Linked DNA regions of Anolis sagrei. The protein of the gene in region 4 interacts with the protein of the main gene of each other region in a biochemical or structural test. Links are inferred from orthologs where the notes say so. Each region holds a gene or a part of one and is shown on either strand. Other genes may lie near its edges. The genes, in order: RXRA, NR5A1, THRA and NRIP1.

The links.
Region 1: the proteins of NRIP1 (region 4) and RXRA form a complex in vitro, tested with the Homo sapiens proteins (2 studies listed by BioGRID). The link is inferred for Anolis sagrei from reciprocal best matches to the Homo sapiens genes NRIP1 and RXRA.
Region 2: the proteins of NRIP1 (region 4) and NR5A1 form a complex in vitro, tested with the Homo sapiens proteins (2 studies listed by BioGRID). The link is inferred for Anolis sagrei from reciprocal best matches to the Homo sapiens genes NRIP1 and NR5A1.
Region 3: the proteins of NRIP1 (region 4) and THRA form a complex in vitro, tested with the Homo sapiens proteins (4 studies listed by BioGRID). The link is inferred for Anolis sagrei from reciprocal best matches to the Homo sapiens genes NRIP1 and THRA.

What each region holds. Positions count from the first base shown.
Region 1 is NC_090031.1:5,342,764-5,350,418, reverse strand, and holds the start of RXRA (retinoic acid receptor RXR-alpha), read left to right. Parts: upstream 1-4,055; 5' UTR 4,056-4,455; coding exon 4,456-4,483; intron 4,484-7,655. UniProt on the Homo sapiens protein: Receptor for retinoic acid that acts as a transcription factor.
Region 2 is NC_090031.1:247,717-255,434, reverse strand, and holds the start of NR5A1 (steroidogenic factor 1), read right to left. Parts: upstream 3,466-7,718; coding exon 3,364-3,465; intron 1-3,363. UniProt on the Homo sapiens protein: Transcriptional activator. Essential for sexual differentiation and formation of the primary steroidogenic tissues. Binds to the Ad4 site found in the promoter region of steroidogenic P450 genes such as CYP11A, CYP11B and CYP21B.
Region 3 is NC_090026.1:40,792,006-40,800,370, forward strand, and holds the start of THRA (thyroid hormone receptor alpha), read right to left. Parts: upstream 3,640-8,365; 5' UTR 3,287-3,639; intron 1-3,286.
Region 4 is NC_090023.1:61,573,256-61,581,443, reverse strand, and holds the start of NRIP1 (nuclear receptor-interacting protein 1), read left to right. Parts: upstream 1-4,749; 5' UTR 4,750-5,062; intron 5,063-8,188. UniProt on the Homo sapiens protein: Modulates transcriptional activation by steroid receptors such as NR3C1, NR3C2 and ESR1. Also modulates transcriptional repression by nuclear hormone receptors.

The DNA.
Region 1 (7,655 bases), on a different chromosome or scaffold from region 4:
GGTTCAGAATACTCTTTGATTATAAGTGAATGGCAAATCCCAACTACAACTCCCAAATGTCAAGGTCTATTTTGCCCAAGCTCCACCAGTGTTCACATTTGGGCATATTGAGTATCCATGCCAAGTTTGGTCCGGATCTATCATTGTTTTGAGTCCACAGTGCTCTCTGGATGTAGGTGAGCTACAACTCCAAAACTCAAGGTCAATGCCCATCAAACCCATCCAGTAGGTGAACGATAAATCCCAATAACTACAACTCCCAAATGTCAAGGTCTATTTTTCCCAAGCTCCACCAGTGTTCACATTTGGGCATATTGAGTATTTGTGCCAAGTTTCGTCTGGATCCATCATTGTTTGAGTGCACAGCGCTCTCTGAATGTAGGTGAGCTACAACTCCAAAACTCAAGGTCAATGCCCATCAAACCCATCCAGTAGGTGAACGATAAATCCCAATAACTACAACTCCCAAATGACAAGGTCTATTTTCTCCAAACTCTACCAGTGTTCACATTTGGGCATATTGAGTATTTGTGCCAAGTTTCGTCTGGATCCATCATTGTTTGAGTGCACAGCGCTCTCTGAATGTAGGTGAGCTACAACTCCAAAACTCAAGGTCAATGCCCATCAAACCCATCCAGTAGGTGAACGATAAATCCCAATAACTACAACTCCCAAATGACAAGGTCTATTTTCTCCAAACTCTACCAGTGTTCACATTTGGGCATATTGAGTATTTGTGCCAAGTTTCGTCTGGATCCATCATTGTTTGAGTGCACAGCGCTCTCTGGATGTAGGTGAGCTACAACTCCAAAACTCAAGGTCAATGCCCACCAAACCCATCCAGTAGATGAACGATAAATCCCAACAACTACAACTCCCAAATGTCAAGGTCTATTTCCCCCCCAAATTCCACCAATGTTCACATCTGGGCATATTGAGTATTTGTGACAAGTTTTGTCTGGATCCATCATTGTTTGAGTCCACAGTGCTCTCTGGATGTAGGTGAACTACAACTCCCAAACTCAAGGTCAATGTCCACCAAACCATTCCAGTATTTTCTGTTGTTCATGGGAGTTCTGTGTGCCAATTCCATCGCTAGTAGAGTTCAGAATGGTCTTTGATTATAGGTGAATTATAAATCCCAGCAACTACAACTCCCAAATGTCAAGGTCTATTTTCCCCAAACTCCAAGGTGTGAATGTGTGGGCAAGGGAGAGTGTGTGAGGATGGAGGGAGGCTCATGCCAGTGAGTCCCTTCAAGATATGGGGATTCTGTGTGGGAAGTTTGGGTTCTATCCCAATTCCATCGTTGGTGGGGTTCAGAATGCTCTTTGATTGTAGGTGAACTATAAATCCCAGCAACTTCAACTCCTAAATGTCAAGGTCTATTTTCCCAAAACTCCACCAGTGTTCACATTTGGACATATTGAGTATCCATGCCAAGTTTGGTCCGGATCTATCATTGTTTTGAGTCCACAGTGCTCTCTGGATGTAGGTGAACTACAACTCCAAAACTCAAGGTCAATGTCCACCAAACCCTTCCAGTATTTTCTGTTGGTCATGGGAGTTCTGTGTGTCAAGTTTGGTTGAATTCCATCATTGGTGGAGTTCAGAATGCTCTTTGATTGTAGGTGAACTATAAATCCCAGCAACTACAACTCCCAAATGACAAAATCATTATCACCCCTCGCCGAACCCCATCAGTATTCAAATTTGGGCATATCAGGTATTTCTGTCAAAATTGGTCCAATGAATGAAAATACATTCTGCATATCAGATATTTACATGGTTGGGGGTCACCACAACATGAGGAACTGTATTAAGGGGTCACGGCATTAGGAAGGTTGAGAACCACTGCCCTATGAGGAGCGGCTTAAAGAGGAAGCAGCCAAGCCTTGAAACTGCAGGTCCATTCAAAATCTGGCTACCAGTATTAATTAAAACACTCTAAAATCAGGACAGCAAGTAAAGAACAACACTCAAAAAGCAGGGGAACAATCAGGCTCAACTCCCAACAAAGGATTCCTGCAGGCAGCAACCAGCCAAGCCTTGAAGCTGCGAGTCCATTCAAAATCTGGCTACCAGTATTAATTAAAACACTCTAAAATCAGGACAGTAAGTAAAGAACAACACTAAAAAGCAGGGGAATTGCAGACAAGAAAATATCTGGTACATCTAATACCTCCCAACAAAGGATTCCCCCAGGCAGGAAGCAGCCAAGCCTTGAAACTGCAAGTCCATTCAAAATCCGGCTACCAGTATTAATTAAAACACTCTAAAATCAGGACAGTAAGTAAAGACACTCAAAAAGCAGGGGAATTCCAGAAAAGAAACAATCAGAATCACCTCCCAACAAAGGATTCCCGCAGGCAGCAACCAGCCAAGCCTTGAAGCTGCAAGTCCATTCAAAATCTGGCTACCAGTATTAAAACACTCTAAAATCAGGACAGTAAGTAAAGAACAACACTCAAAACATGGGAATTCCAGACAGGAATCAATCAGGGCCATATAATGCCTCCCAACAAAGGATTCCCCCAGGCTGGGAGCGGCCAAGCCTTGAAACTGCAAGTCCATTCAAAATCTGGCTACCAGTATTAAAACACTCTAAAGTCAGGACAGTAAGTAAAGAACAACACTCAAAAATCAGGTGAATTCCAGACAAAAAACAATCAGGCTCAACTCCCAACAAAGGATTCCCCCAGGCAGGAAGTGGTCAAGCCTTGAAGCTGCTAAGCTTTTCAATGCAAATCAAGGTGGTCAATTGCAGCATTTCCACTTGCTTCCAAGAGACAGAGTGGACATCATTCCCCAGATATAGAAACCCAATTTCCCTAGTTTCCAACAGACTTCACAACCTCTGAGGGTGCCTGCCATAGATGTGGGCGAAACGTCAGGAGAGAGTGCTTCTGGAATATTTCCAGACATTGTATTGCCGAAGGCTTTCATGGCCGGAATCACTGGGTTGTTGTAGGTTTTTTCCGGGCTATATGGCCATGTTCTAGAGCAGTGTTTCTCAACCTTCCTAATGCCGCGACCCCTTAATACAGTTCCTCATGCTGTGGTGACCCCCAACCCTAAAATTATTTTCGTTGCTACTTCATAACTGGCATTTTGCTACTGTTATGAATCGTCATGTAAATATCTGATAAGCAGGATGTATTTTCAATCTCTGGACATTGGGAGTTATAGTTGCTGGGATTTATAGTTCACCTACAATCAAAGAGCATTCTGATCTCCACCAGAGATAGAATTGACCTAAACTTGGCACACAGAACGCCCATGACTAGCACAAAATAATGAAAGGGTTAGATGAGCATTGGCCTTGAGTTTGGGAGTTGTAGTTCATCTATCTCCAGCAAGCACTGTGGACTCAAACAATGATAGATCTGGACTGAACTTGGCGCAAATACTCAATATGCCCAAATGTGGACACTGGTGGAGTTTGGAGATAATAGACCTTGACATTTGGGAGTTGTAGTTGCTGGGATTTATAGTTCACCTACAATCAGAGAGCATTCTGAACCTTACCAATGATAGAATTGGGCCAAACTTCCCACACAGAACTCCCATGACCAGCAGAAAATACTGTGTATCCTGATGGAGTTTGGCGACCCCTCTGACACCCCGTCGCGACTCCCCCAGGGGTCCCGACCCCCAGGTTGAGAACCACTGTTCTAGAGGCATTTTCTCCTGACGTTTCGCCTGCATCTATGGCAAGCATCCTTAGAGGTAGTGAGTTTTTTCAGACAGCCTGGAAAACTCACAGCAACCCAATGATTCCAGCCTTCGACAAGAGTTGGCAAAGGCTGGCGAGAGAGGCGACAGTTCCCAGCATTCCTCTTTTTTTTGGTGTGGGGGAGTTTTGGGATTGATAGTCCTGGCCACGACTTAGAGGGATGCCCAAGGTCTAACTTGGGTTTTGTTTGGTGTCCTTCCCTTTTGGCGAGGTTCTTTAAGTCCCCCCCAAAGCGCCTCAATGGCGTCGTCCCTCGCGTTTCCCCCTTCGTGAGTCGGGTCCCCCTTGGAGTTTCTTTTCTTTGGAGACACGCAAGCCACGCGAGCGCGCGCGCGCAGGCGCTCGTGCCCGCGCCCACCCACGAGAGCGCGAGCCCAAGTACTTTTTTCCCTGGGTATTTTTTTCCTTCTTCTTCTTCTTTCTCCCTCTTTTGAGTTCCCTTCTTCTCTGGACGAGTTTTTGGAGAGGCGCAAAAGGGGAGAAAAACAAGGAAAGTCGGCCTTCTTTTCCTTCTTTTCCTTGGACTTTTGTATTATTCCGGATTTTTGTCTTGTTATATTTTAGAGAGAGGGGGAGGGCTTGCTCTGCTCCTAAAAGGCGGACCGAGAGGAGAACCAGAGACCCTCCCCCTTTCCCAAAAAGAACACAACAACAAAACAAGAAACCTCTCCAAAATCCATCTGGCAATGAGTTAAAAAAAAAGCGGCGCAAAGAAGGAGATGGACACCAAACATTTCCTCCCTTTGGGTGAGTTTTTGGGGGGCTCTTCCTCCCCCGATTTTTCCTATATCCTTTAGGGGAAAAAGTGGGGAATCAAGGGGGGAAAAAGAGAGAGAAAAAGGGGGAGGATTGGAGGAGGAAGAGGAGCACCCCAAACAACAACAACGTCAAGGCGAGATGCGTAAAAAGCCGTGCGTAAAAGCGCACGCGTTTGGGGGGCTTGCAAAAAAGCCCCTTTTCCAAGTAAAGCTTTTGGGGAACCCTCCCCCAAAGGGTCCAGTTAGACAAAAGAGGGTCTCAGGATGGTCCCCATATAGGTTATATGCGTCTATGTCTTTCTATAATGGGGGAGTGTCCCTTCTTTCTCGCCATGCCCAATGCAGAGAGAGCAGTTGCTTTCTCCACTCTGGCTCGGCTTGTGGCAATGGAGCCAGGCAGGCCTTGGAAAGGAAGGGGAAAGGGAGCCTTTGGGGGTGTGTGGTTGCGGCTGTCGTTGTGTTCTCGGCCCTCGGTGGTTGCCTCTTGGGTTGACACGGCTTTGGGGGAGTCCCAACTGGCTGCCTCGGCTCAAAGAGTGTTTTGGGGGAGCTCGAAGTTCAGTCGGACGGGAAGCGAGGAAAAGGGTTTGCGCTTTGGAGAGAAGTGGCCCAGAGAGAGAAAGAGAGAGAGAGTGTGTGTGTGTGGACTGGGTAAACTGCACTAGGATCTGGGCCCTTCCTTCCTTCTTTCCTCCTTTCCTTCCTTCTTTCCTTCCTTCCTTCTTTTCTTCCTCCTTCCCTCTCTCCCTGCCTTCTTTCGTCCCTCCCTTTCACTTTATTTCTTTTTCTTTCTTCCCTTCTCTCACTCTCCTTCCTTCCTTCTTTCCTTCTTTTCTTACTCCCCTCCCTCCCTGCCTTCTTTCCTTCCTTCCTTCTTTCGTCCCTCCCTTTCACTTTATTTCTTTTTCTTTCTTCCCTTCTCTCACTCTCCTTCCTGCCTTCCTTCCTTCCTTTTTTCCTTCCATCTTTCTTCCTGCCTTCTTTCCTCCCTCCCTTCTTGCCTTCCTTTCTTCTTTCTTTCCTTACTTCTTTCCTTCCTTCCTTCTTTCCTTCCTTTCTTCTATCATCCCTCCCTTCTTTCTTTCCTTCCTTCTTGCCTTCATTTGTTCCTTGTTTCCTTCCTCCCTTTCACTTTATTTCTTTTTCTTTCTTCCATTCTCTCTCCTTCCTTCCTTCTTTCCTTCCTTTTTCCTTCCATCTTCCTTCCTTCCTTCCTTCTTTTCTCCCTTCCTTCTTTCTTTCTTTCCTTCCTTCCTCCTTGCCTTCATTTCTTCCTTGTTTCCTCCCTCCATTTCACTTTAATTCTTTTTCATTCTTCCCTTCTCCTTCCTTCCTTCCTTCCTTCCTTCCTTCCTTCCTTCCTTCTTTCTTTCTCCCTCCCTTATTTCATTCCTCCATTCCTTTCACTTTATTATTTTTCTTTTTTTCCTTCTCTCACCTTCCTTCTTTCCTTCCTTCCTTTCTCTCTTCTTTCCCCTTCCTCCCTTATCTCTCTTCTTCCACCCTCCTTTCACTCTTCCATTCTATTCCTCTTTCTTCTATTTCTTTCTCTCTCTCCTTCCACCACTCCTTTAACTTGTATTTTTCTATTTATTTATTTTCTTCCTTCTTCACTTCCTTCTTTCTCTCCTTCCCCTTCCTCTCTCCCCCTCCCTTTTCTATTTCTTTCTTCCCTTTTCTCTCACTGTCCTCCCTCCTTTCCTCTCTTTTTCCTCCCCTTTTCTTTCATTCTTTCATTCTTTCTTTCTCTCTCCCCTTCTCCTTCCTTCATTCCCCTCCCTTTCGGTCCCCCTTCCCCTCTCTTTTCTATTTCTTTCTTCCCTTCTCTCTCTTTCCTCTTTCTTTCTTTCTTTCTTTCTTTCTTTCTTTCTGTCTTCCCTTCTCCTTCCTTCCTTCCTTCCTTCCTTCCTTCCTCTCTCTCTTTCTCTCTCTCTCTCTCTCTCACCTTCCTTCCTCTCTTCCCCATCCCCTATTTTTTCTATTTCTTTCTTCCTCTCTCTCTTTCCTTCCTTCCATCCCCTCACTTTTTTCTATTTCTTTCTTTTCTGCTTCCTCTTTCCTCCCCTCTTTGGACCCTTCCACACCACCTTATAACCCAGAATATCAAGGCCGATGATAATCCACAATATCTGCTTTGAACTGGATTATCTGAGTCCACACTGCCATATCATCCAGCTCAATGTGGATCTTATACAGCTGTGTGAAAGGGGTCTCACGTTCTTCCTTTCTTCCCTACCCCTTCCTTCCTTCCTTCCTTCCTTCCTTCCTTCCTTCCTTCCTGGGTTTTATTTTAAGATTTACTTTTGTATGCTTTGAATTGTATAGTTTCCAAAGGTTGTGAGCTGATTTGGGTGTTGTGCCTTGAGTTAAAAGCAAGGTAATAATAGTAATAATAATAATAATAATAATAATAATAATAATAGTAATAGCAATAATATAATAATAGTAATAATATAATAATAATATAGTAATATAATAATAATAATATAGTAATATAATAATAATAATAATGGTAATAATAGCAGCAACAACAATTCCTCCCTCCTTCTACTTTCTTTTTCCCTCCTACTTTCTTCTTCTCTTCTCGTCTTCCCTCCCTCTTTCTTTCTTTCTTTCCTTCTCTCTCTCTTTCTCTTTCCCTCTCTTTCTGACTTCCTTTCCTCCAGTTTTTGGAAGTTGGCATTGGGCGGAGAGTCTCCGAAGGAGGGGAGGAGGAGACTTTTGGAAGCTCTCTGCAGGAAATCCAAAGAAAGAAGGGAACGAAGGAAAGGAGGAGTGCGAGCAGGCCTGGGAGTGTTGCGAAAGGCCACCACCGCTCCTTCTCCCTCTTTGGGTGTCCCACTAAATAAAAAAGCCTTGTTTTTAAATGTCCGAAACATGCCATTCCATGTAGGTACTTTCCCAAGTTTTGGGCCATTATAGGAATCCACCTCATAATGTATTTGGAGTCAAATACTTTTGTGGAGAGTGCTTTCTGTTTGGAGAGATTTGTGTCTGTTTCTTTTGTCCCCTTCCTTACTTTTACACCAACCCTTGAAATGAACTCTTTCTGCACCTTTGAAAAACCTGAGTCTAGTATCTCTTTGGTTGACGAGACCAGGAGGATGGGACATGCAGTCAGGGCCACCTTGCTAGATCCCATCCAGCCCTGCTCTGGCGTG
Region 2 (7,718 bases), on a different chromosome or scaffold from region 4:
AGTATTGAGTATTATTATATTACAATATTATTGTGAAAATAAAATTGTATTTATATATTATTTTATTCATATATTATATATTAGATTGTGTTTATATATTATTATATTATATTGTATTTATATATTACTATATTAGTATAGCAATATATTATTTTATCATATATTATATTGTATTTTCAATTGTATTAATACATTATTATATTATATTATATTGTATTTATTATTATATTCATATCTTATTATATTATTATATTCTATTTATATATTACTATATTAGTATAGCAATATATTATATTATTTTATCATATTATATTGTATTTTCAATTGTATTAATACATTATAATATTATATTATATTGTATTTATTATTATATTCATAAATTATTATATTATTATATTGTATTTATATATTACTATATTAGTATAGCAATACATTATATTATTTTATCATATATTATATTGTATTTACAATTGTATTAATACATTATTATATTATATTATATATTATATTCATATATTATTATATTATATTAATGTATTATATTCTATTTATATATTGCTATATTAGCATAGCAATATATTATCATATATTATATTGTATTTACAATTATGTTAATACATTATAATATTATATTATATTGTATTTATTATTATATTCTTATATTATATTAATGTATTATATTGTATTTATATATTACTATATTAGCATAGCAATATATTATCATATATTATATTGTATTTACAATTGTATTAATACATTATAATATTATATTATATTGTATTTATATATTATTTACTATATTTATATGTCGCCTTTCTCGACCCCGACTCAAGGCGGCTCACAACATCGGCAATAATGCAATGCCTTAAAAACAATATACAATTAGACAAAACACAAAGTATTGCAAAAACAATATACAATTAAAAGGAGAGCATGGTTTAAAAACCAATATATCTTATGGGAAAGTAGGTGTTTTATTATAATATAATATTGTATTATAATACTGATATTGTGCTATGCTAATAATATAATATATATATATTGTGTGTGTGTGTGTGTGTGTGTGTGTATATATATATATCTTGTAAGCCGCTCTGAGTTCCCTTTATATGCTGCCCTTCTCAATATACAATTAAAAGGAGAGCATGGTTTAAAAACCAATATATCTTATGGGAAAGTAGGTGATATTGTGCTATGCTAATAATATAATATTATCACACTGTACTATACTACTATACTGCAATATTACTAGTCACATTAATATATGATTAGCATAGCACAGTATTAGTATGATTTATTATCACATTGTAGTATACTACTATATTATTTATCTATTTATACTGCAATAAATAAATGATATATTATACGTATATCTAATATATTATTAGCATAGCACATAGCATAATATTATATTATAATATTATAATGGTATACGTATATATACTATATTATTAGCAAAGCACAGTATTAGCATGATGTATTATCACACTGTACTATACTGCAATATTACTAGTCACATTAATATATTATATTATTATTATAATATTATATATATTATATTATATTATATTATATTATATTATTAGCATAGCACAGTATTAGTATGATTTATTATCACACTGCACTATACTACCATACTGCAACATTACTAGTCACATTAATATATGATTATATTATAATAATATTGTATGTATATATAATATATTATTAGCATAGCACAGTATTAGTATGATTTACTATCACATTGTAGTATACTACTATATTATTTATCTATTTATACTGCAATAAATAAATAATATATTATACGTATATATAATATATTATTAGCAAAGCACAGTATTAGTATGATATATTATCACACTGTACTATACTACTATACTGCAATATTATTTATCTATTTATACTGCAATAAATAAATAATATATTATTATATTATAATATTATAATGGTATACGTATATATACTATATTATTAGCAAAGCATAGTATTAGTATGATGTATTATCACACTGTACTATACTGCAATATTACTAGTCACATTAATATATGATTATATATATATATATATATATATATATATATATAATATTATATTATATTATATTATATTATATTATTAGCATAGCACAGTATTAGTATGATTTACTATCACATTGTACTATACTACTATACTGTAATATTACTAGACACATCAATATATTATTATATTATAATAATATTCTATGTATGTATTATATATTATCAGCATAGCACAGAATTAGTATGATTTACTATCACATTGTAGTATACTACTATACTGCAATAAATAAATAAATATTATTATATTATAACAATATTATTATAATATTATACGTATATATATTTTGAGCATAGCAGAGTATTAGTATATTATCACACTGTCCTGTACTGCAATATTACTAAACACATTAATATATGATTATATTATATTTTAATAATATTATATGTATATATACTATATTATTAGCATAGCACAGAATTAGTATGATTTACTATCACATTGTACTATGCTACTATACTGCAATAAATAAAAAAATTATTATATTATAACAATATTATTATAATATTATACGTATATATATTTTGAGCATAGCAGAGTATTAGTATATTATCACATGTCCTGTACTGCAATATTACTAAACACATTAATATATTATTATACTATATTTTAATAATATTATATGTATATATATATTATTAGCATAGCACAGAATTAGTATGATTTACTATCACACTGTACTATACTGCAATATTACTAGACACATTAATATATGATTATATTATTATAATAATAATATTATATATATTATATTATATTATATTATATTATATTATATTATATTATATTATATTATTAGCATAGCACAGTATTAGTATGATTTACTATCACGTTGTACTATACTACTATACTGCAATATTACTAGACACATCAATATATTATTATAATATATTATAATATTATTATTATATTATATTATTAGCATAGCACAGAATTCGTATGATTAACGATCACATTGTACTACACTACTATACTGCAATATTACTAGTCACAGTACATTATATCCGCAATTATATATACTAGTAATAGTAATATACTAATGATATGGTATCAAGGCAGACCATGCACAGGATGCGCTTCATACTTTTGGATCCCGATTATTTCCTATCAGGAGTGCGCAAAAGTTTCCGAAGCCGGGGCGCCTTGATGGGACCCTTCTCCCACACAGCCATGGAGCCCAGAACATCAAGGCAGGTGACCCACCAGGTGGGCTTTGAGCTGGACTATCCGAGTCCACATTGCCATAGAATGCATCTCCATGTGTCCTGGGGTCTTTGGGGGTCTTACCTTGCAGCTCTCGCAGGTGAGCAGCCCGTAGTGGTACCCCGAGACCTTGTCCCCACACACCGGGCACAGCTCGTCCAGGTCTTCGTCGTAGGAGTAGTCCATCCTTCACCTAGGAAGGAAGGAAGGAAGGAAAGGAAGGGAAGAAGAAGAAGGGAAGGGAGGAAAGGAAGAAGAGGGGAGGCTTTTATAGAGCAGGGCGGCTGAGGCTGATGCTGATGCTGCTGATGCGCCTGATGTGCCCTCCTCTTTGGAGGGAGGAAAAAACACAAAACAAAACAAGGGGAGAAAGAAAGAAAGAAAGAAAGAAAGAGAGGGAGGAGGAGGAGGAGGGAGAAAGAAGGCGGCCAAAGGAGAAAGGAGGGCCCAGCACCCCCTGGAGACCCTCCAGCAAGAGAGGGCTTACTTTGGGGGGCCCGGCACCCCGACAGATGGCCACCACACCTCTGTTTCGAAACCTCCAAAGAAGGTACAAGGAAAGGCTTTCCCCTGGCATTAAGTCCAGTCCAGTCCGACTCTGGGACTCTGGTGCTCATCTCCATTCCTAAGCCAAAGAGCCGGCGTTGTCCGTAGACACCTCCAAGGCAGGACTGCACAGAGCACCCTTACCTTCCTATTGATCTACTCACATTGGCATGGTTTCGAACTGCTAGGTTGGCAGAAGCTGGGGCTGACAGCAGGAGCTCACCCTGCTCCCCGGATTCGAACCGCTGACCTGACTGCATGGAGAGCCCTTACCTTCCTATTGATCTACTCACATTGGCATGGTTTCAAACTGCTAGGTTGGCAGAAGCTGGGGCTGACAGCGGAAGCTCATCAACTCTGGGACTTTGGTGGTCATCTCCATTCCTAAGCCAAAGAGCCGGCGTTGTCCGTAGACACCTCCAAGGCAGGACTGCACAGAGCACCCTTACCTTCCTATTGATCTACTCACATTGGCATGGTTTCGAACTGCTAGGTCGGCAGAAGCTGGAGCTGACAGCAGGAGCTCACCATGCTCCCCGGATTCGAACCGCTGACCTGACTGCATGGAGAGCCCTTACCATCCTATTGATCTACTCACATTGGCATGGTTTCGAACTGCTAAGTTGGCAGAAGCTGGGGCTGACAGCGGAAGCTCATCAACTCTGGGACTTTGGTGGTCATCTCCATTCCTAAGCCAAAGAGCCGGCGTTGTCCGTAGACACCTCCAAGGCAGGACTGCACAGAGCACCCTTACCTTCCTATTGATCTACTCACATTGGCATGGTTTTGAACTGCTAGGTTGGCAGAAGCTGGGGCTGACAGCAGGAGCTCACCCTGCTCCCTGGATTCAAACCGCTGACCTGACTGCATGGAGAGCCCTTACCTTACTATTGATCTACTCACATTGGCATGGTTTCAAACTGCTAAGTTGGCAGAAGCTAGGGCTGACAGCAGAAGCTCACCAACTCTGGGACTCTGGTGGTCATCTCCATTCCTAAGCCAAAGAGCCGGCGTTGTCCGTAGACACCTCCAAGGCAGGACTGCACAGAGCACCCTTACCTTCCTATTGATCTACTCACATTTGCATCTTTTCAAACTGCTAGGTTGGCAGAAGCTGGGGCTGACAGCGGAAGCTCTCCAACTCTGGGACTCTGGTGGTCATCTCCATTCCTAAGCCAAAGAGCCGGCGTTGTCCGTAGACACCTCCAAGGCAGGACTGCACAGAGCACCCTTACCCTCCTATTGATCTACTCACATTGGCATGCTTTCGAACTGCTAAGTTGGCAGAAGCTGGGGCTGACAGCGGAAGCTCACCAACTCTGGGACTCTGGTGCTCATCTCCATTCCTAAGCCAAAGAGCCGGCGTTGTCCGTAGACACCTCCAAGGCAGGACTGCACAGAGCACCCTTACCATCCTATTGATCTACTCACACTGGCATGGTTTCGAACTGCTAAGTTGGCAGAAGCTGGGGCTGACAGCAGAAGCTCACCAACTCTGGGACTCTGGTGGTCATCTCCATTCCTAAGCCGAAGAGCCGGCGTTGTCCGTAGACACCTCCAAGGCAGGACTGCACAGAGCACCCTTACCTTCCTATTGATCTACTCACATTGGCATGGTTTCGAACTGCTAAGTTGGCAGAAGCTGGGGCTGACAGCGGAAGCTCTCCAACTCTGGGACTCTGGTGGTCATCTCCATTCCTAAGCCAAAGAGCCGGCGTTGTCCGTAGACACCTCCAAGGCAGGACTGCACAGAGCACCCTTACCTTCCTATTGATCTACTCACATTGGCATGGTTTCGAACTGCTAGGTTGGCAGAAGCTGGGGCTGACAGCGGAAGCTCTCCAACTCTGGGACTCTGGTGGTCATCTCCATTCCTAAGCCAAAGAGCCGGCGTTGTCCGTAGACACCTCCAAGGCAGGACTGCACAGAGCACCCTTACCTTCCTATTGATCTACTCACATTGGCATGGTTTCGAACTGCTAGGTTGGCAGAAGCTGGGGCTGACAGCAGGAGCTCACCCTGCTCCCCGGATTCAAACCGCTGACCTGACTGCATGGAGAGCCCTTACCTTCCTATTGATCTACTCACATTGGCATGGTTTCGAACTGCTAAGTTGGCAGAAGCTGGGGCTGACAGCAGAAGCTCACCAACTCTGGGACTCTGGTGCTCATCTCCATTCCTAAGCCGAAGAGCCGGCGTTGTCCGTAGACACCTCCAAGGGCATGTGGCCATAGGCATGACTGCATGGAGCACCCTTACCTTCCTATTGATCTACTCACATTTGCATGTTTTCAAACTGCTAGGTTGGCAGAAGCTGGGGCTGACAGCGGAAGCTCATCAACTCTGGGACTCTGGTGCTCATCTCCATTCCTAAGCCGAAAAGCCGGCGTTGTCCGTAGACACCTCCAAGGGCATGTGGCCACTGGCAGGACTGCATGGAGCACCCTTACCTTCCTATTGATCTACTCACATTTGCATGTTTTCAAACTGCTAGGTTGGCAGAAGCTGGGGCTGACAGCGGAAGCTCACCAACTCTGGGACTCTGGTGGTCATCTCCATTCCTAAGCCAAATGTCTGGCGTTGTCCGTAGACACCTCCAAGGTCATGTAGCTGGCAAGACTGCATGGAGCGTCCTTAACTTCCCACTGGAGTAGTACCATTGGCATGTTTTGGAACTGTTAGGTTGGCAGATGCTGGGGCTGACAGCAGGAGCTCACCCTGCTCTCCGGATTCGAACCGCTGACCTGACTGCATGGAGTGCCCTTACCTTCCCGCTGAAGCGGGTACCTACCCATCTACTCACATTTGCATGTTTTGGAACTGCTATGTTGGCAGAAGCTGGGGCTGACAGCAGGAGCTCACCCCGCTCCCCGGATTCGAACTGCTGACCTGACTGCATGGTGCGCCCTTACCTTCCCGCAGGAGCGGTACCTACCCATCTACTCACATTTGCATGTTTTGGAACTGCTATGTTGGCAGAAGCTGGGGCTGACAGCAGGAGCTCACCCCGCTCCCCGGATTCGAACTGCTGACCTGACTGCATGGTGCGCCCTTACCTTCCCGCTGGAGCGGTACCTACCCATCTACTCACATGTGCATGTTTTGGAACTGCTAGGTTGACAGAAGCTGGGGCTGACAGTGGAAGCTCACCAACTCTGGGACTCTGGTGCTCATCTCCATTTCTAAGCTGAAGAGCCGGCATTGTCCGTAGACACCTCCAAGATCATGTGGCCACTGGCATAACTGCATGGAGCACCCTTACCTTCCTTTTGATCTACTCACATTCGCATGTTTTCCAACTGCTTGGTTGGCAGAAGCTGTGGCTGACAGCAGGAGCTCACCCCGCTCCCCGGATTCGAACCTGTGACCTTTCGGTAAGCAAGTTCAGCAGCTCAGCGGTCTAACCCACTGCGGGCCCCCATTACATTATTATATTGTATAATAATGTAACACAATGCTAATAATACAAAACAATATAATAATTATTATATCTATACAAATAAGAAGGCAACGTTCATTTGTGGGATTAACAGAACTCCAAAACCACTGGATGAACTGAGACCAAATTTGGCCACAAGATACCTCTCAGGCCAAAGAGTGACCATCACTCATGAAAACATTGAAAAACACAGCAGAAGGGACTTAAAAGGCCAAAAAACCCAAAAATTACATTACAACACATGCACAAAACCACATATATATATACACGCAAACACACATATACTCATATACACACATAGACTGAGCCACAGCAACACATGCAGGGGACGGCTAGTATATTATACATTACATGTAATTTTGCAAAAACCCCCCCCTCACACACACACACATATGTATATACACGCAAACACACATATACTCATATACACACATAGACTGAGCCACAGCAACAC
Region 3 (8,365 bases), on a different chromosome or scaffold from region 4:
CCACCGTGGACAGCTGTCACAGTGACAGCATGAAAAGTGTTCCCAATGTTGTCGCCCCTCTGAACCCCCCTTCCTTCCTTCTTTCCTTCAAGGACAGGATCCCTGCTGCAAGGGAGGGTGTCCCCCTTTCCTCCCCCAACACTTCTCGAGGATCAAGCCAAGAGGGTGAGCCCACAGCCCCTTCCCTCTGGGGAGAGAGAATGGAACATGCAAAGTTAAATCCAGCTCCACCGGAAAAAGGGCCCTGCTGCCAACGCCGAAGGAATACTATGCCGTCCCCCTTGTCCCCCCTCCCTTTGCCCAAAACCAGGCTTGTGATCCGCCAGCCACATGCCAAACGTCCTTATTTTTAAAGAAAATATTTACTCATATTTCTCCCGCTTTTCCAACGCCAAGTGAGAAAACACCCTCCCCTTTCCCAAACTCCTCCGGCCAATGTCAAAACTACTTTCCTAACCTTTGCAACTCCTTTTTAAAACAGTAACAACAATAATAACAATTGCAAACAGGAAGGAAGAGATTCATAAACGGGGGGAAGACGAGGGAAGATATGAATCCAACCTAAAAAGCATATACAAATACATATTTATATCCTTGGCAGTTGCAAGAATCTCTGGATTGCTGTGAGTTTTTCAAGCTGTATGGCCAAGTTCCAGAAGCATTCTCTCCTGACGTTTCGCCCACATTTATGGCAGGCATCCTCAGCGGTTGTGCGATCTGTTGGAAGCTAGACAAGTGGGGTTTATATATTTGTGGATGGGAGAAAGAACTCATGTCTGCTGGAGGCAAGTGTGAATGTGGCAATTAATCACCTTGATGAGTATACAATAGCTCTGCAGCTTCAAAGCCTGGCTGATTCCTCCCTGTGAATCAAACTTATCTCCAACACACAATAGTTCTGTCTTTCACCTTGGACCTTCCACAGATATATAAACATTACTTGCTTCATTTCCAACTGACATCACAACTTCTGAGGATGCCTGGCAAAGATGTAGGCGAAACGTCAGGAGAGAATGCTTCTAGAACGTAGCCATGCAGCCCGGAAGACTCACAGCAATCCAGTGATCCTGGCCATGAAAGCCTCTGACAACACAGTGCAATGTTTAATTCCAGAAGGGAATGTGCAAGGGAGGGGGTATAACTCAAATCCCAGTCCTATGTGTTTGTGTATATGTGCGTGTGTATACACACACACACACACACACACTAGCCATTCCCTGGCATGCGTTGCTGTGGCCCAGTCTGTGTATATGTGTTTTGTATGTGTATATATATTTGTGTATATATGTGTGTATGTGGTTCTGCACATGTGTTGCAATGTATTTTTTTGCTTTTTAAGCCTCTTCTGTTGTGGTTTTCAGTGTTTTTGTGAGTGATGGTCATTTGTTGGCCTGATAGGCGTCTTGTGTCCAAATTTGGTGTCAATTCCTCCAGTGTTTTTTGAGTTATGTTAATCCCACAAACAAACATTACATTTTTATTTATATCGATATACATACACACACATATATATGTGTGTGTGCATATATATGTGAGTGTATATAGATATATATATACGTACATATATATACACAATTCCTCCAGTGTTTTTTGAGTTATGTTAATCCCACAAACAAACATTACATTTTATTTATATCGATATACACACATATATATGTATGTGTGTGCATATATATGTGTGTATATATATATATATATATATATATACACACACACATATATATCTCTTTGTGCATATATATACAAATATGTGTGTGCATATATATGTGTGTATGTATGTATATATACATGCATATATATGTCTGTGTGTGCATATATATATGTGTGTGTGTATAGATATAGTTTTTCCTCCAGTGTTTTTTGAGTTATGTTAATCCCACAAACGAGCATTACATTTTTATTTATATAGACATACACATATATATGTGTGCGCATATATATGTGTGTGTATAGATATATATACATACACATATACACACACATATATATGTCTGTGTGTGCATATATATACAAATATGTGTGTGCATATATGTGTGTGCATATATATACATACATATATATACATACATATATATGTCTGTGTGCCTATATATACAGATGTGCGCGCGCATATATATGTGTATATATATATACACAGATATATATGTCTGTGTGTGCATATATATACAGATGTGTGTGCATATATATGTGTATAGATATATATACACAGATATATGTCTGTGTGTGCATATATATACAGATGTGTGTGTGCATATATATGGTTGTGTATATATATACATACATATATATGTCTGTGTACCTATATATACAGATGTGTGTGCGCATATATATGTGTATAGATATATATACACAGGTATATATATATCTGTGTGCGCATATATATACAGATGTGTGTGTGCATATAATGTGTGTGTGTATATATACATACATACATATACATACATATATATGTCTGTGTACCTATATATACAGATGTGTGTGTGCATATATGTGTGTATAGATATATATACACAGATATATATGTCTGTGTGTGCACTTATATACATAAGTGTGTGTGCATATATATATATATATATATATATATATACATATACACATGTGCATGTGTGTTTATATCTATGACATATTTTTAAACCTCAAGTTGGCACAACAACTCCCGTCCAAGCCCTTTATATATATTTTCCTGCAAACCCCAAGTTGGCACCAATCTCTTGAGCAGCGCAGTAAACAAACCAGGAAAAACACACATACACACACATATTTTTTAAAAGGGAAGTGTCTACAACTACAGAGCTGTCTCTCTCTTTTTTTTCTCCTCCTCCCCCTTTTATTTTTTTGCCCCTCCTTTAAAGCACTCTCTCTCTCCATTACTGGAGAGGCAGAACATATAGATATATAGATATATATATAGGTTAATGCCAAGCAGGGGGAGGAGGGGGAGAAAGAGAAGAGTAAGTGATGAGATTAAAGGAAGAGAGAGAGAGAGAGGGAGGGGGGAAAAACAGGGAGAGAAGGGATTGCTCTCCATATGAAATCCCTCCATGGAAAAGAGAAGGGGAGGGTGGGAAAAGGGTGGGAAAAGGGGGGAACCCTCCCCAAATCTTCAGATTTGCAACGTTGGCAGTGACAGGAACAGCTGCGATGGGACGGGGCAAGGAGGGTGGAGACAGCTGGAAAAATATATCTACATACATATACAAGGCTCAAAAGAGGGAAGACATATTGGGGTTCAGGAAGGACACCCTCTCCCTCTTCCAACCAAGCCACTCTTTGCCCACAAGCTTACCTTTGGCTGCTTCAGCGTCGCCTTTGCTCTCTCTCTCTTTCCCCCCCTCCCTTCTTCTTTGCAAGCAGGAAGCTGGCGTGGTGCTTGCCTTGCCCCCCCCCCTCCCCTTCTTCTCCTCCTCCCTCCTTTCCAAGCTGGAGTTTCCCTTGCTCTTCTTCTTTGGAGGAGGAGGAGGAGGAAGAAGAGAAGGAGGCGCCACCGACGAGGAGGTTTGTAAGATCCTGGAGGAGGAGGAGAAGCAGCAGGAGCAAGGGCAGCGGCGCTCGCCTGGTGCGTTGGTGTCACTAGAGCTGGGGAAATGGACTCGAGAGGCGAAGGGAAGGAGGCCGGCCCTGGCTCCTCCTCCTCCTCCTCCCTCTCCCTGCTTTTGCTGCTTCTGCCTCTCTTGCTGTTGCTGCCACCGCCGCCTTAGCTGACGCCTGCACCCTGCAGGCCGAGGGCGCGTGCTGCCAGGGAAAGAAGGAAGGAAAAGAGGGAAGGAAGGAAGGAGGAAAATACTCCCACCTCTCTCCCTCCCCAAAGAGGCGTCCCGAAGGCAAGTTAGTTGGACATGGCCTTCGGAATCCACGCAACTCCTTAACTACCCCGGCTCAAGGTTGTGGGATCCTGGGAGTTGTAGTTTTGCAAGGTCTTTTGAGTTCTTGCAACTCTAGCTGCTCGGGCTCAAGGCTGTGGAATCCCGGGAATTGTAGTTTTGCAAGGTTTTTTAGAGTCATTGCATGGCTCAAGGTTATGGGATCCTGGGAGATGTAGTTTTGCAAGGCCTTTCTGAATCATTTGCAATTCTTACCTGCCCAGGCTCAAGGCTGTGGAATCCTGGGAGTTGTAGGGTTGCAAGGTATTTTGAATCCTTGCAACTCTAGCTGCTCAGGCTCAAGTCTACGGAATCCTGGGAGTTGTAGTTTTTCAAAGCTTTTTAGAGTCAATGCATGACTCAAACTTATGGGATCCTGGGAGTTGTAGTTTTGCAAGGTCTTTTGAATCCTTGCAACTCTTGCTCAGGCTCACGGCTATGGAATCCTGGGAGTTGTAGTTTTTCAAAGCTTTTTAGAGTCAATGCATGACTCAAGGTTATGGGGTCCTGGGATTTGTAGTTTTGCAAGGTCTTTTGAATCATTGCAACTCTCAACTGCCCAGGCTCAAGGCTGTGGAACCCTAGGAGTTGTAGTTTTGCAAGGTTTTAGAGTCAATGCATGGCTCAAAGTTATGGGGTCCTGGGAGTTGTAGTTTTGCAGACTCCAGGCTATGGAGTCCGGGGAGTTGTAGTTTTGTAAGTTTTTTTTAGAGTCAATGCATGGCTCAAGGTTATGGGATCCTGGGAGTTGTAGTTTTGCAAGGTCTTTTGCATCATTGCAACTCTAGCTGCTCAGGCTCAAGGCTGTGGAATCTCGGGCATTGTAGTTTTGTAAGGTTTTTTAGAGTCAATGCATGGCTCAAGGTTGTGGGATCCTGGGAGTTGTAGTTTTGCAAGGACTTTTGAATAATTTGCAACTCTCAACTGCCCTGGCTCAAGGCTGTGGGATCCTGGGAGTTGTAGTTTTGCAAGGTCTTTTAGAATCAAAACATGGCTCAAAGTTATGGGATCCTAGGAGTTGTAGTTTTGCAAAGTCTTTCTGAATCATTTGCAACTCTTAACTGCCCAGGCTCAAGGCTATGGAATCCTGGGAGTTGTAGTTTTGCAAGGTCTTTGAATCAATGCAATTCTAACTGTCCTGGCTCAAGGCTGTGGAATACTGGGAATTGTAGTTTTACAGGGTCTTTGGCATCATTGTAACGTTAATTGCCCACACTCAAGGCTGTGGGATCCTGGGAGTTGTAGTTTTGCAAGGTCTTTCTGAATCATTGCAAGTCGTAACTGCCCAGGCTCAAGGCTGTGGAACCCTAGGAGTTGTAGTTTTGCAAGGTTTTAGAGTCAATGCATGGCTCAAAGTTATGGGGTCCTGGGAGTTGTAGTTTTGCAGACTCCAGGCAATGGAGTCCGGGGAGTTGTAGTTTTGTAAGTTTTTTTTAGAGTCAATGCATGGCTCAAGGTTATGGGATCCTGGGAGTTGTAGTTTTGCAAGGTCTTTTGAGTCCTTGCAACTCTAGCTGCTCAGGCTGAAGGCTGTGGAACCCTGGGAGTTGTAGTTTTGCAAGGTTTTTTAGAGTCAATGCATGGCTCAAAGTTATGGGATCCTGGGAGTTGTAGTTTTGCAAGGTCTTTTGGATCCTTGCAACTCTCAACTGTCCAGGCTCAAGGGTATGGCATCCTGGGAGTTGTAGTTTTGCAAGGTCTTTTGAATCATTTGCAATTCTTAACTGCCCTGGCTCAAGGCTATAGAATCCTGGGAGTTGTAGTTTTGCAAGGTCTTTTGAATCCTTGCAACTCTTGCTCAGGCTCAAGGCTATGTAATCCTGGGAATTGTAGTTTTACAGGGTCTTTGGAATCATTGTAACGTTAATTGCCCAGGCTCAAGGCTGTGGGATCCTGGGAGTTGCAGTTTTGCTAGGTCTTTGGAATAATTGCAACCCTGCCTACAAATGACATCTGGCTCAGTGAAGGTACTGACACTTTGTTTTTTCCCTTTGTACTAGTTGAGTATCCCTTACCTGAAATGTTTGGAATCAAAAGTATTTTGGGTCCCATCTACACTGCCATATAATCCAGTTTCTGAATCCAGATTGTCTGCATTGAACGGGACTATACGGCAGTATAGACTCATATAATCCAGTTCAATCTAGATTTAGAAACTGGATTATATGGCAGTGTAGGTCCAGCCTTGGATGTCCAATTTTTTTATTATTTTGGAATCCCTGTATTTGCATACATAATGCGATATCTTGGAGATTGAATTCAGATCTAGACAGTAAATTACTTTATGTTTCATATGCACCATATACAATTGTCCGAAAGGTCATTTTACACAATATTTTAAAAATAATTTTGTGCATGCGACAAAGACAAATGAGCAAATCAAATGGACCAACAGAAACCGTTTTACCTTGCACATTTCATGAAATGACATGACTCCTTAGAAAAAAATAATAAGGAAACGAGAATGGGTTCATCTACACTGTAGAATTAATGCAATTTGATGCCACTTTCACTGCTAGGACTCAGTGCTATGGAATCCTAGAAGTTGTAGATTAGATCCCAGCATGCTTTGGCAGAGAAGGCTAAAAACCTTGTAAAGTTATAAATCCTATTATTCCATCGTATTGAACCATAGCAGCTAAAATAGCATCAAACTGCATTCATGTTGTGCCCAAAGTCAAAGCCAACTCAATGTGAATTAACAGCAACACATTTTATGTATTTGGAGAAAGATTGAAAAGCTGCCTTTTGCATTTAGCGATTTCTGCTGTGTATATCTATATCTAACACTTGCATTGGTCTTCTGCCCTCCATGCGCCATCTATATAAATAAAAATGTAATGTTAGTTTGTGGGATTAACATAACTCAAAACCAACTGGGTGAATTGACACAAAATTTGGACACAATACACCTATCAGGCTAATGAGTGACCATCACTCATAAAACACTGAAAAACACAACAGAAGGGACTTAAAAAGGCAAAAAAGCAAAAAGATGCTACAGCGCACGCGCAAAAACGACTCCCCCAGCAAACAAAACACACAATAGCATAGCCACACTTGCTTCCAGACTACAGCTCCCAGCATCCTCTAGACCAGGCCCTTTAGGAGGAGAGGATGATCCAAATGCACTGCTTCCAAGATGCAAGCTTTCTTCTCCTTGGATTTCTATGAAAGCATCCCAATCTCTCCATATTTCCAATTTCCTATTCCCGGACTGTAACTGCCAGCAATCCTCCAGATAGCTAGATGACATAGAGATAGATAGACAGAGAGATCAGGAGGACTGGTGGGAGTTGCAGTCCAAGAATCGGTAGAGAAGGAAGAACAGGGAGAAAGAAGAAGGAGAGAAAGGGGCGGGAGGAATAGTCCAACAATAAACAATCATAAAATGACTAATAAACACTGGACATAAGAAAGGAAAAGTGGAGAAGTCCACCTTTGCAGCACCTTTGAGGCATAGTTTTGTTCATGATACATATGATGAAGCTCATACTGAAATATATGAAATATATACCCCTTGATGAATTGTCACCTTGTCGTTGTGAGGCGGCTTGCATGTTTCAATGAACCTATGGGCATAACCACTAGATTCATGCACTCCTGGGGGGGGGGGTGCACAGGGGAGGTTCCAGACCAAGCACAATCCGAAGACCTCAACATTGGATCAGGCAGAAGATAACATGGCACATGTTACAATGGCTGTGAAGGCAGAAGAAGGTTGCACCAGATTGAGAAGCCACTGTCGTGGTGTTAATTACGCCACTGGTTGGGACCCCCACTCTGTGAAGACTGCGTTTTGATTGGCTGTGAACCAACTTCCACATATTTAAAAAAAAACACAAGTGTCTTCCAAGAACTTGAAAGGCCATCACACTTGGACTATGAGGAATCGCTTAGGAGGAGGACTGAACTATATCACTCTGTCTCAAGTGTACTTTCAAATGTCACTTGCATATTCCTTATTTTAGGACAGGTTAATAAGGTTATTGCCTCAAAAATTGTGAACAAGCATTGAGTAGACATACATACTGGGCTCTTAGTAGACTTTGTTCTTGTGGGACATCCTGCAGCACATTTTTCTAAAGTTTTTCAATGAATATCACATCGAGTCTCGACTAATTTAACATATGAGGGATATCTGGAAAGTATAGTTACAAGATTTTTTAAAAATACTAAGAATGAATATATTTTAATAAAACTTACATGGATTATAGCATTATTTTCCACATAATCACCATTCAGTTTAATACATTTTGTTATCAGTATGATGAATTGTTATGCCTGTGTCATAGAAGTTTCTTTCCACCTTTTTCATCCAGTTCGTCACTTCGATTTTCACCTCATGGTCAGAAAAGTGTTTTCCACCAAGGTGTTCCTTCAGTTTAGTGAACAGATGATAGTCACTGGGTATGAGATCGTGGCTGTGAGAGCGGTGGCTGAAAACACCCCAACCAAATGAAGTCAATAACGCTTGTGTTGCATGAGCGGTGTGCAGACACACA
Region 4 (8,188 bases):
AGAAGCTCCCAAATATCAGGAATCCCACCCACCGAACTTAAGTTGTTGTGCCTTTTCTGTATTTCAACTACCTTATGTTTGGAGGTTTAGAAGATGTTTCTGATGCAAAAACCCTTGAAACAATGTATATAACTGTACAAATAATACCAGACAGCAGACTCTCTTCAAGATTTTTAGATGGTGGGAGCTGACTATTGCATTGCATGTTTAAAAGAAATGATCTGTAATTGGTGAATTTAGTATTATTTGAAAGTATGTTCATTAGTAGGTGACTTGGATTCCTGAAAAAAGGATGTAATTTAAGTAAAGTTGTTGTTGTTGTTGTTGTTGTTGTTACTATTATTATTCATAGTAGTAACAGTAGTAGTGTTGTCAAAGGTTTTCATGGCCAGAATCACTGGTTGCTTTGAGTTTTCTGGATTTTATGGCCATATTCCAGAAGCATTCTCTCCTGACATGTCACCCACATCTATGGCAGGCATCCTCAGAGGTTGGGGGGGGGGAACTAAGTAAGTGAGGTTTATATATCTCTGGAATGTCCAGGGTGGGGAAAGAACTTTTGTCTGCTTGCTGTAAGTGTGACTGTTGCAACTGGCCACTTTGATTGGCACTGAATGGTCTTGCAGCTTCAAAGCCTGGCTGCTTCTTTCCTGGGGGAATCCTTTGTTGGGAGGTGTTAGCTGGCTCTGATTGTTTCCTGCCTGGAACTTTGTTGTTTTTTGAGTGTTGCTGTTTATTTACTGCCCTGATTTTAGAGTACTTTTTAAATACCAGTAGCCAAATTTTGTTCATTTTCATGTTGAAATTGTCCACCTGCTTGTGGATTTCAATGGCTTCTCTGTGTAGTCTGACATGGTGTTGTTAGAGTGGTCCAGCATTTCTGTGTTCTCGGATAATATGCTGTGTCCAAGCTGGTTGATCAGATGCTCTGCTATGGCTGACATATCAGGTTGAATTACTCTGCAGTGCCAAACAGACAACAGTTCACTCCCCCACCCTGGACATTCCACAGATATATAAATTTCACTTGTCTAGTCTCCAACAGAATCCTCAACCTCTGAGGATGCCTGCCATAGATGTGGGCAAAATGTCAGGAGAGAATGCTTCTGGAATATGGCCATACAACCTGGAAAACTCACAACTAACCAACAGTAGTATATTTTTATATATTTTTTCTACCTCAACATGGCAAATGTTTAGTTCTGATAGTCACCGAGGCAGGGCAAGAGGATGGAGACTTTTGTCCAGGACTATGTTGCTCAAAGACTATGTGGAAAGTGATGTGAACCCTGCAAAAGGGCATATTTAAACACATTTTTAAACCATCCCAGTTTAACCAAGGTGTGACATCTCTGGAAAACTAGCAATATAAAACATTGCCTGTCTGGTGCATTATTATAATTTTACTTCACCATTTTGAGACAAAAATAAACAGGCTATACTACTGTTGGGTTGTGAGTTTTCGGGGCTGTAGATTCCTGACAGAGCAGAGCTTTCCAAACTGTTTTGTGACAGGTTAGTGCAGGTATGGGCAAATGTTGGTCCTCCAGGTGTTTTGGACTTCAACTCTCACCATTCCTAACAGCCTCAGACCCTTTCTTTTTTCTCCTTAGCCACATAAGCATAAGCAGCTGAGCAGGGAAGGAAGGGGCCCGAGACTGTTAGTAATGGTTGAAGTCCAAACCAACTGGAGGGCCAACGTTTGCCCATACATGTGTTAATGTGTTTGCTATAGTGCAGTGGTCCATGGACCACCAGTGGTCCCCAAGAACGAAAATATGGTCTGTAGCCTCACCATTAGTACACCATTGCCTCGAAACCATGTGGCATTGAGAGTGACTGATCTCACGAAACCCTCTTACAGTGCCAAGGCAACAGGGATGTCAGAAGGGGAGAGGCTGATTCCTCATGAAAGGGTACTACTACAACATCAGCTCTAGATTATTAAATAGGTGGGGGGTTTTTTGTGGGCAAACCGATGATGACTACCGAATGGTATATTGTATCTTCTGTATCTTCTGTATCAGAAACTAGAGCTGACTAGAGCCGTCTGCAAAGACATTACCCTCGGGATGCCCAGATTTCTGATGTGTTACTATCCTTGTGGGGAGCTTCTCTCATGCCCTCCCCCCCCATGGGGAGCTGGAACTGACAGAGGGAGATCATCTGCGCTCTCCCTGGATTTGAACCTTCGACCTGTCGGTCTTCAGTCCTTCCAGTACAGGGGTTTAACCCACCGCACCACCGGGGAAATGTTGATCAGCCACCAGTACCTTGGCAGCTACCTCTCCACAAAAGTCAACATTGACACTGAAATACAACACCACCTGAGCTCTGTGAGTGCTGCTTTTTTCTGAAAGAAGCAGAGAGTGTTTGAGGACTGGGACATCCGTAGGGATATCAAGGTGCTTGTTTATAAAGCAATTGTCCTCCCAACCCTGCTATACAACTGCTAAATGTGGACTGTCTACAGACATCACATGCAACTCCTGGAACTATTCCACCAGCGCTGCCTCTGGAAAATCCTGCAAATCTCTTGTGAAGAGAAGCAGACAAATGTCAGAGTGCTGGAAGAAGCAAAGACCACCAGCATTGAAGTGATGGTCCTCCGCCATCAACTCCGCTGGACCGGCCACGTTGTCCGGATGCCCGACCACCGTCTCCCAAAGCAGTTGCTCTACTCCGAACTCAAGAATGGAAAACGGAATGTTGGTGGGCAGGAAGTGATTTAAAGATGGGCTCATAGCCAACCTTAAAAACTCTGGCACAGAACTGGGAAGCCCTGGCCCTTGAGCGCTCTAGCTGGAGGTCAGCTGTGACCAGCAGTGCTGTAGAATTTGAAGAGGCATGAATGGAGGGTGAAAGAGAGAAACGTGTCAAGAGGAAGGCGCGTCAAGCCAACCCTGATCGAGACCACCTTCCACCTGGAAACCAATGCCCTTCACTGTGGGAGACAAGCCCGTAGCCAGGATTTCGTTTCGGGGGGGGGGGGGTGTGAATTTTTTTCAGGGGGGTTTCGGGGGGATGAGTTTCAGGGGGGGGCTGAGTCTGAGTGAAAGAGTGTCTACCCTAGCAAACCTTTTGTATCATTACCCCAATACCCCCATGCATATGGGATATATTGAGTATGGTGATCAGATCATGATATGAATAAACATAACAGTTTAAGTAATGCACCAGTAAAGCCTTTTCGCGAACCACCATGAGAATTTCGGGGGGGGGGGGGGCTGAAGCCCCCCGAGCCCCCCCCCCCCCCGGCTACATGCCTGGTGGGAGAAGATGCAGATCAAGAATAAATAATAATAATAATAATAATAAAACTTTATTTATACCCCGCTACCATCTCCCCAAGGGACTCGACGCGGCTTACATGAGGCCGAGCCCACAGTACATCAGCAAAAAACATCAAAGCAGTAATACAAAACAATAAAATAAAACTCATAAACAAAAAATAGGCAGTAAACATCGATAATAACACAGTAACATTTAAAAACCAATGGTTGGGCCAAATGTAATAGTTAAAATTAAAAAAATAATGCGGGACAAGACCAGGTGAAATATAACTAGAATAGAATTTCGGAAAAGAATGGGGTGTACAGACAGTTCTAGATCACTAATAAGGTGTAATTAGGAACATATTGGTGGGAGTTTCCTTATTCTGGGAAGGCACACTGGAACAACCACGTTTTCAAGCTCCTCCTAAAAATTGCCAAAGTTGGGGTGTGCCTAATATCCTTGGGGAGGGAGTTCCAGAGTCGGGGGGGGGGGCACCACCGAGAAGGCCCTCTCCCTCGTCCCCACCAATTGCGCCTGCGATGGAGGTGGGAGCGTGAGTAGGGCCTCTTCAGATGATCAAAGAGATCATGTGGGTTCGTACACAGAAATGTGGTCATGCAGGTAGGCAGGTCCCAAACCATTCAGGGCTTTGTAGGTAAGAACCTGCACCTTGAAGTGGGAATAGGGCTCCACAGTCACCTACAGACCCACCACCAGTACATTGATCTTGGAAGACTATCCTACTCGGACAACGAGGGATCGCCTAAGGAAGTAAGTAAAGTACCACCGGGGACTCCTACTGGAGCTGATGTGGTCTACCCAATGCCATTTTCTGAATCAGCACCTCAAATAACCAAAGAGAATCTAAAGTTGACTGAAAACTGATTTGTAACCCTTTTGGTACTAATGTTGGAGAGTGGTCCCTGGTCAAAAGAAAGGTTGAGAACCACTGCTGTAGTGTGTAAATGTTATGAGAAATGAGAAGAAAAAACATCTTTGGAATATGTTATGATGTTACCCATCATTTCTCCCCCCCCCCCCCCCCGAGATGTATTGTATTCCTTGTTACAATGGCTACTATGTCTTGGCCCTTCCCTCTTCTCAAGGGTCTGTTGAACCTTGGGCTTTGCTAGTAAACCTGCGTGACTGTCGCAAAAGGAAGCCTGCCTTCAAAGTGTGTCACCAACAAACAGGAAGGGTTTGAGGGAAGCTGCGTGCAGTCCCGACCGAGCCTGGAGGTGTCCCTCCCCGCCCTGGCTTCCCAAGGCATCTGCCTTCCTGTGTCAAGGGGGTGGCGGGGGAGAGAGAGAGAGAGAGAGAGAGAAAGGGGGGAAGGAAGAAAACCCAGTGAGAAACTTGGCTGGAGCGATGAATGGCGAGGAGAGGAGGCGGGTGGAGGGATTGTGACAGGCGGAAAGGAGGAGGGAGAGAGAAAGGGAGGGAGAGAGAAGAGAGAGAGAGAGAGGGCAGGCGGGAGAGGAGGGAGGGAGGGAGGATCACAGGCTGCGGGTGAAGCTTTGAAAGTCAGCCTCACAGGCATTGCAGCAGAGCCCCGAACCGGAGAGAGAGGAGGAGGAAGAGGAGGAGGAGGAGGAGACTCGAGGCGTCTTTTCCTGTGGAGAGCCAGCGAGAGGCGCAGGAGGAGACCCGAGGGGGCGAGAGACGCCTGCCTTCCTCCCTGCTCTGCGCCTTCCCCGTTTCCCTGGCCATTCAAGCCTCCGGAGCCCGGGCGTTTTGGCCAAGCGAGGCAAAGGAGAAGAGGCCAAGCAGAGCGAGGCGGCCAAGGGTGAGTCGAGTGCCTGCTTGGCGACGCTGCTGCTGCTGCTGCCACCGTGGCTTGGCTGGGCCGCCTTTCCCCTCTTACGGAGGGGGAAGGAAGGGCGAGAGAGGGAGGAGGAGGAGCAGGAGGGACGGAGGAAATGGCCGCGGAGGTTGGCGGGGGGCTTTGGGGAGAGGCAGAGGGAGAAGAAGGCAGAGAGAGAGAGAGGGAGGCAGAGGCGCTGCCCTGGCAGATGGGCAGGAGCGCGGAGCCAAGAGGCGAGAGGGCTCAGGGCGCAAAGGGAGCCTCTCATTAGTCTTCTTCGCCTTTGAATAACAAGCTCGGGAAGCCAGGCTAGGAGCTGTCATTCCCGAAGGAGGGAGGGAGCATATCAACAACATTGTTTCCGGTAGCAGGCAGGCAGGTTTTCAATCCCCCCACCACCACCCACCACCACCTTTCCCTCTCTGAAATGGACACCTTACAACCTCACAACCTCTGAGAATGCCTGCCATAGATGCAGGCGAAACGTCAGGAGAGAATGCTTCTAGAACACGGCCAATTGAAACATTGACACCTACCTCCAACAGACAAGAGTTCTTTATCCCACCCTGGACAACCCACAGATATACAATCCCCATTTTCCTAGTTTCCAACAGACCTCTCAACCTCTGAGGATGCCTGCCACATATTTGGGCGAAATGTCAGTAGATAATGCTTCATGGCCAGACAGTCTGGGAAACTTACAAAAAAACAGTGATTCTGGCCATGAAAGCCGCCAACAAAACGTTGGACACTTAAAGTTTGATCATCCCTTAGGGCCCTTCCGCACAGCCCTATAGCCCAGGATATCAAGACAGACAATCCCACAATACCTGCTTTGAACTAGGTAATCTGCATCCACACTCAGATAATGTGGGGTTTTCTGCCTTGATATTCTGGAATATAGAGCTGTGTGGAAGGGCCCTCAGATAACTCAGTTCAAACCAGATATTGTGGGATGTCCTGCCTTGATATTCTGGGATATAGGGCTGTGTGGAAGGGCCCTTAGACATGGGTGGGCAGGGAAAAGTTGGGGTCTCCCCCTTCCCCTCAGTGCCTCTTTTGACTGATTGAAATCACCAGGAATCCCCTGAAATGTTCACCTCTTCTGCCTTGTATTCCCCAGCCCTTTTACACAGCCCTACATCCCAGAATACCCAGGCAGAAAATCCCACATTATCTGAGTGTGGACGCCGATAACCCAGTTCAAAGCAGATATTGTGGTATTTTCTGCCTTCATATTCTGGGATATAGGGCTGTGTGGAAGGGCCCTGAGTATAGGTTCAGATAACCCAGGGCCCTTCCACACAACCATGTAACTCAGAATATCAAGCCAGAAAATCCCACAATATCTGCTTTGAACTGGGTTATCTGAGTCCACACTGCCATATATTCCAGTTCTAAAGCAGATAATGTGGGATCTTATTCAGCTTTGTGGAGGGGGGTGGGGTGCCAATTCAAAGCAGATATTGTGGGATTTCCTGCCTTGATATTCTGGGATATAGGGATGCCAAGAAGCCCCCCCCCCCCTTTCCCTGAATTATCCCAAGTCTTGTGCGCCATGGCTGCGGCGGCGCCTCTCAGGAAGCCAAGCTGGGCACAGGCTCGCACAGCTTTGAAAGATCCATGCACTTTGACTGCCATGGCTCTGTGCTAAAACTCTCTGGTGTTGCAGTTTTACAAGGTCTTACGCCTTCTCTGCCCAAGAGTGCTGCCGCCTCACCAAGCTACACGTGGCTATGGGCCCTTCCACACAGCCCTATCTGCCAGAATATCAAGGCAGAAAAGCCCACATTATCTGAGTGTAGACCCAGATAACTCAGTTCAAAGCAGATATTGTGGGATTTTCTGCCTTCATATTCTGGCATATAGGGCTGTGTGGAAGGGCCCTATGATTCCAGAGCACTGAGCCCTTGTGTGCTGGCAGGATTGCTGGTCAGTGGTTCAAATCCAGGGAGAGCGGGTTGAGCTCCCTCTGTCCGCTCCAGCTCCCCATGCGGAGACATGAGAGAAGCCTCCCACAAGAATGGTAAAAAATCAAACACCTGGGCTTCCCCTGGGCAATGTCCTTGCAGATGGCCAGTTCTCTCATGCCAAAAGCGACTTGCAGTTTCTCAAGCTTCTCGTGACACAAAAAAGGGCCCGTCAACACTCAAACATATAACTCAGAATATCAAGGCAGAAAATCCCACAATACCATCTTTGAATAGAGGGTGGTGCAATGGGTTAAACCCTTGTGCCGACAGGACTGAAGACTGATAGGTGAGTGGGTAGAATCTGGGGAGTGCAGTTTGCGCTCCCTCTCCCCATGCAGGGACATGAGAGTAGCTTCCCACAAGGATGATAAAACATCAAACATCTGGGTGTCCCTTGAGCAATGCCCTTGCAGACCGCCAATTCTCTCACACCAGACACGACTTACAGTTTCTCAAGTTGCTACTGACATGAAAAAAAAAATCTTTGAACTGGGTTATCTGAATCCACACTGTCATATATTCTAGTCCAAAGCAGAAAATATAGGATTTTATTCAACTGTGTAGAAGGGGTCTCTGACTGCATCCATTCCACAGTTGGGGTGCCCCCTTGGTCTCCCCTCTTTGCCTCCTCCTCTTCCTCCTCAGCTCTCCTTTCAAAGGGATGATCTCCCCTCCTTAGTCGCCTGCAAAACCACACCAGGCAAGGCCATGCCTTATGTCAGTCTCTGCTCAGCTCCTGTTATTTATTCACTCCCTTTCCATATCCAAACACATGCACCCAACCAGGGCTGGAGACCTTCAGATTTTTTAGTCATGATTCTTCCGCCCCCTCTCATGTGTCACAGACAAACCCCCACACCATCCTCCGTAAAAGGTGCTTTCTCATCATTTTGATCATATATACACTTTTGTGCCCTCCTGTAACCAGTCTTCTTTTGAGGCAAAGGTCTCTATTTAAAGCCCTTGCGCCGTCTGTTGCTCCATATACTGATAACAACATCTCACCTTATCATGATCCAGTGCTGCTAACAGAGAACATGAATCCAAAGATATATATACACACACACCTTTAATTCTTGAGGGATTGTAATTGAAAACACAGGCTCATGACTAAGAGTTTTATAAAATGATAGAA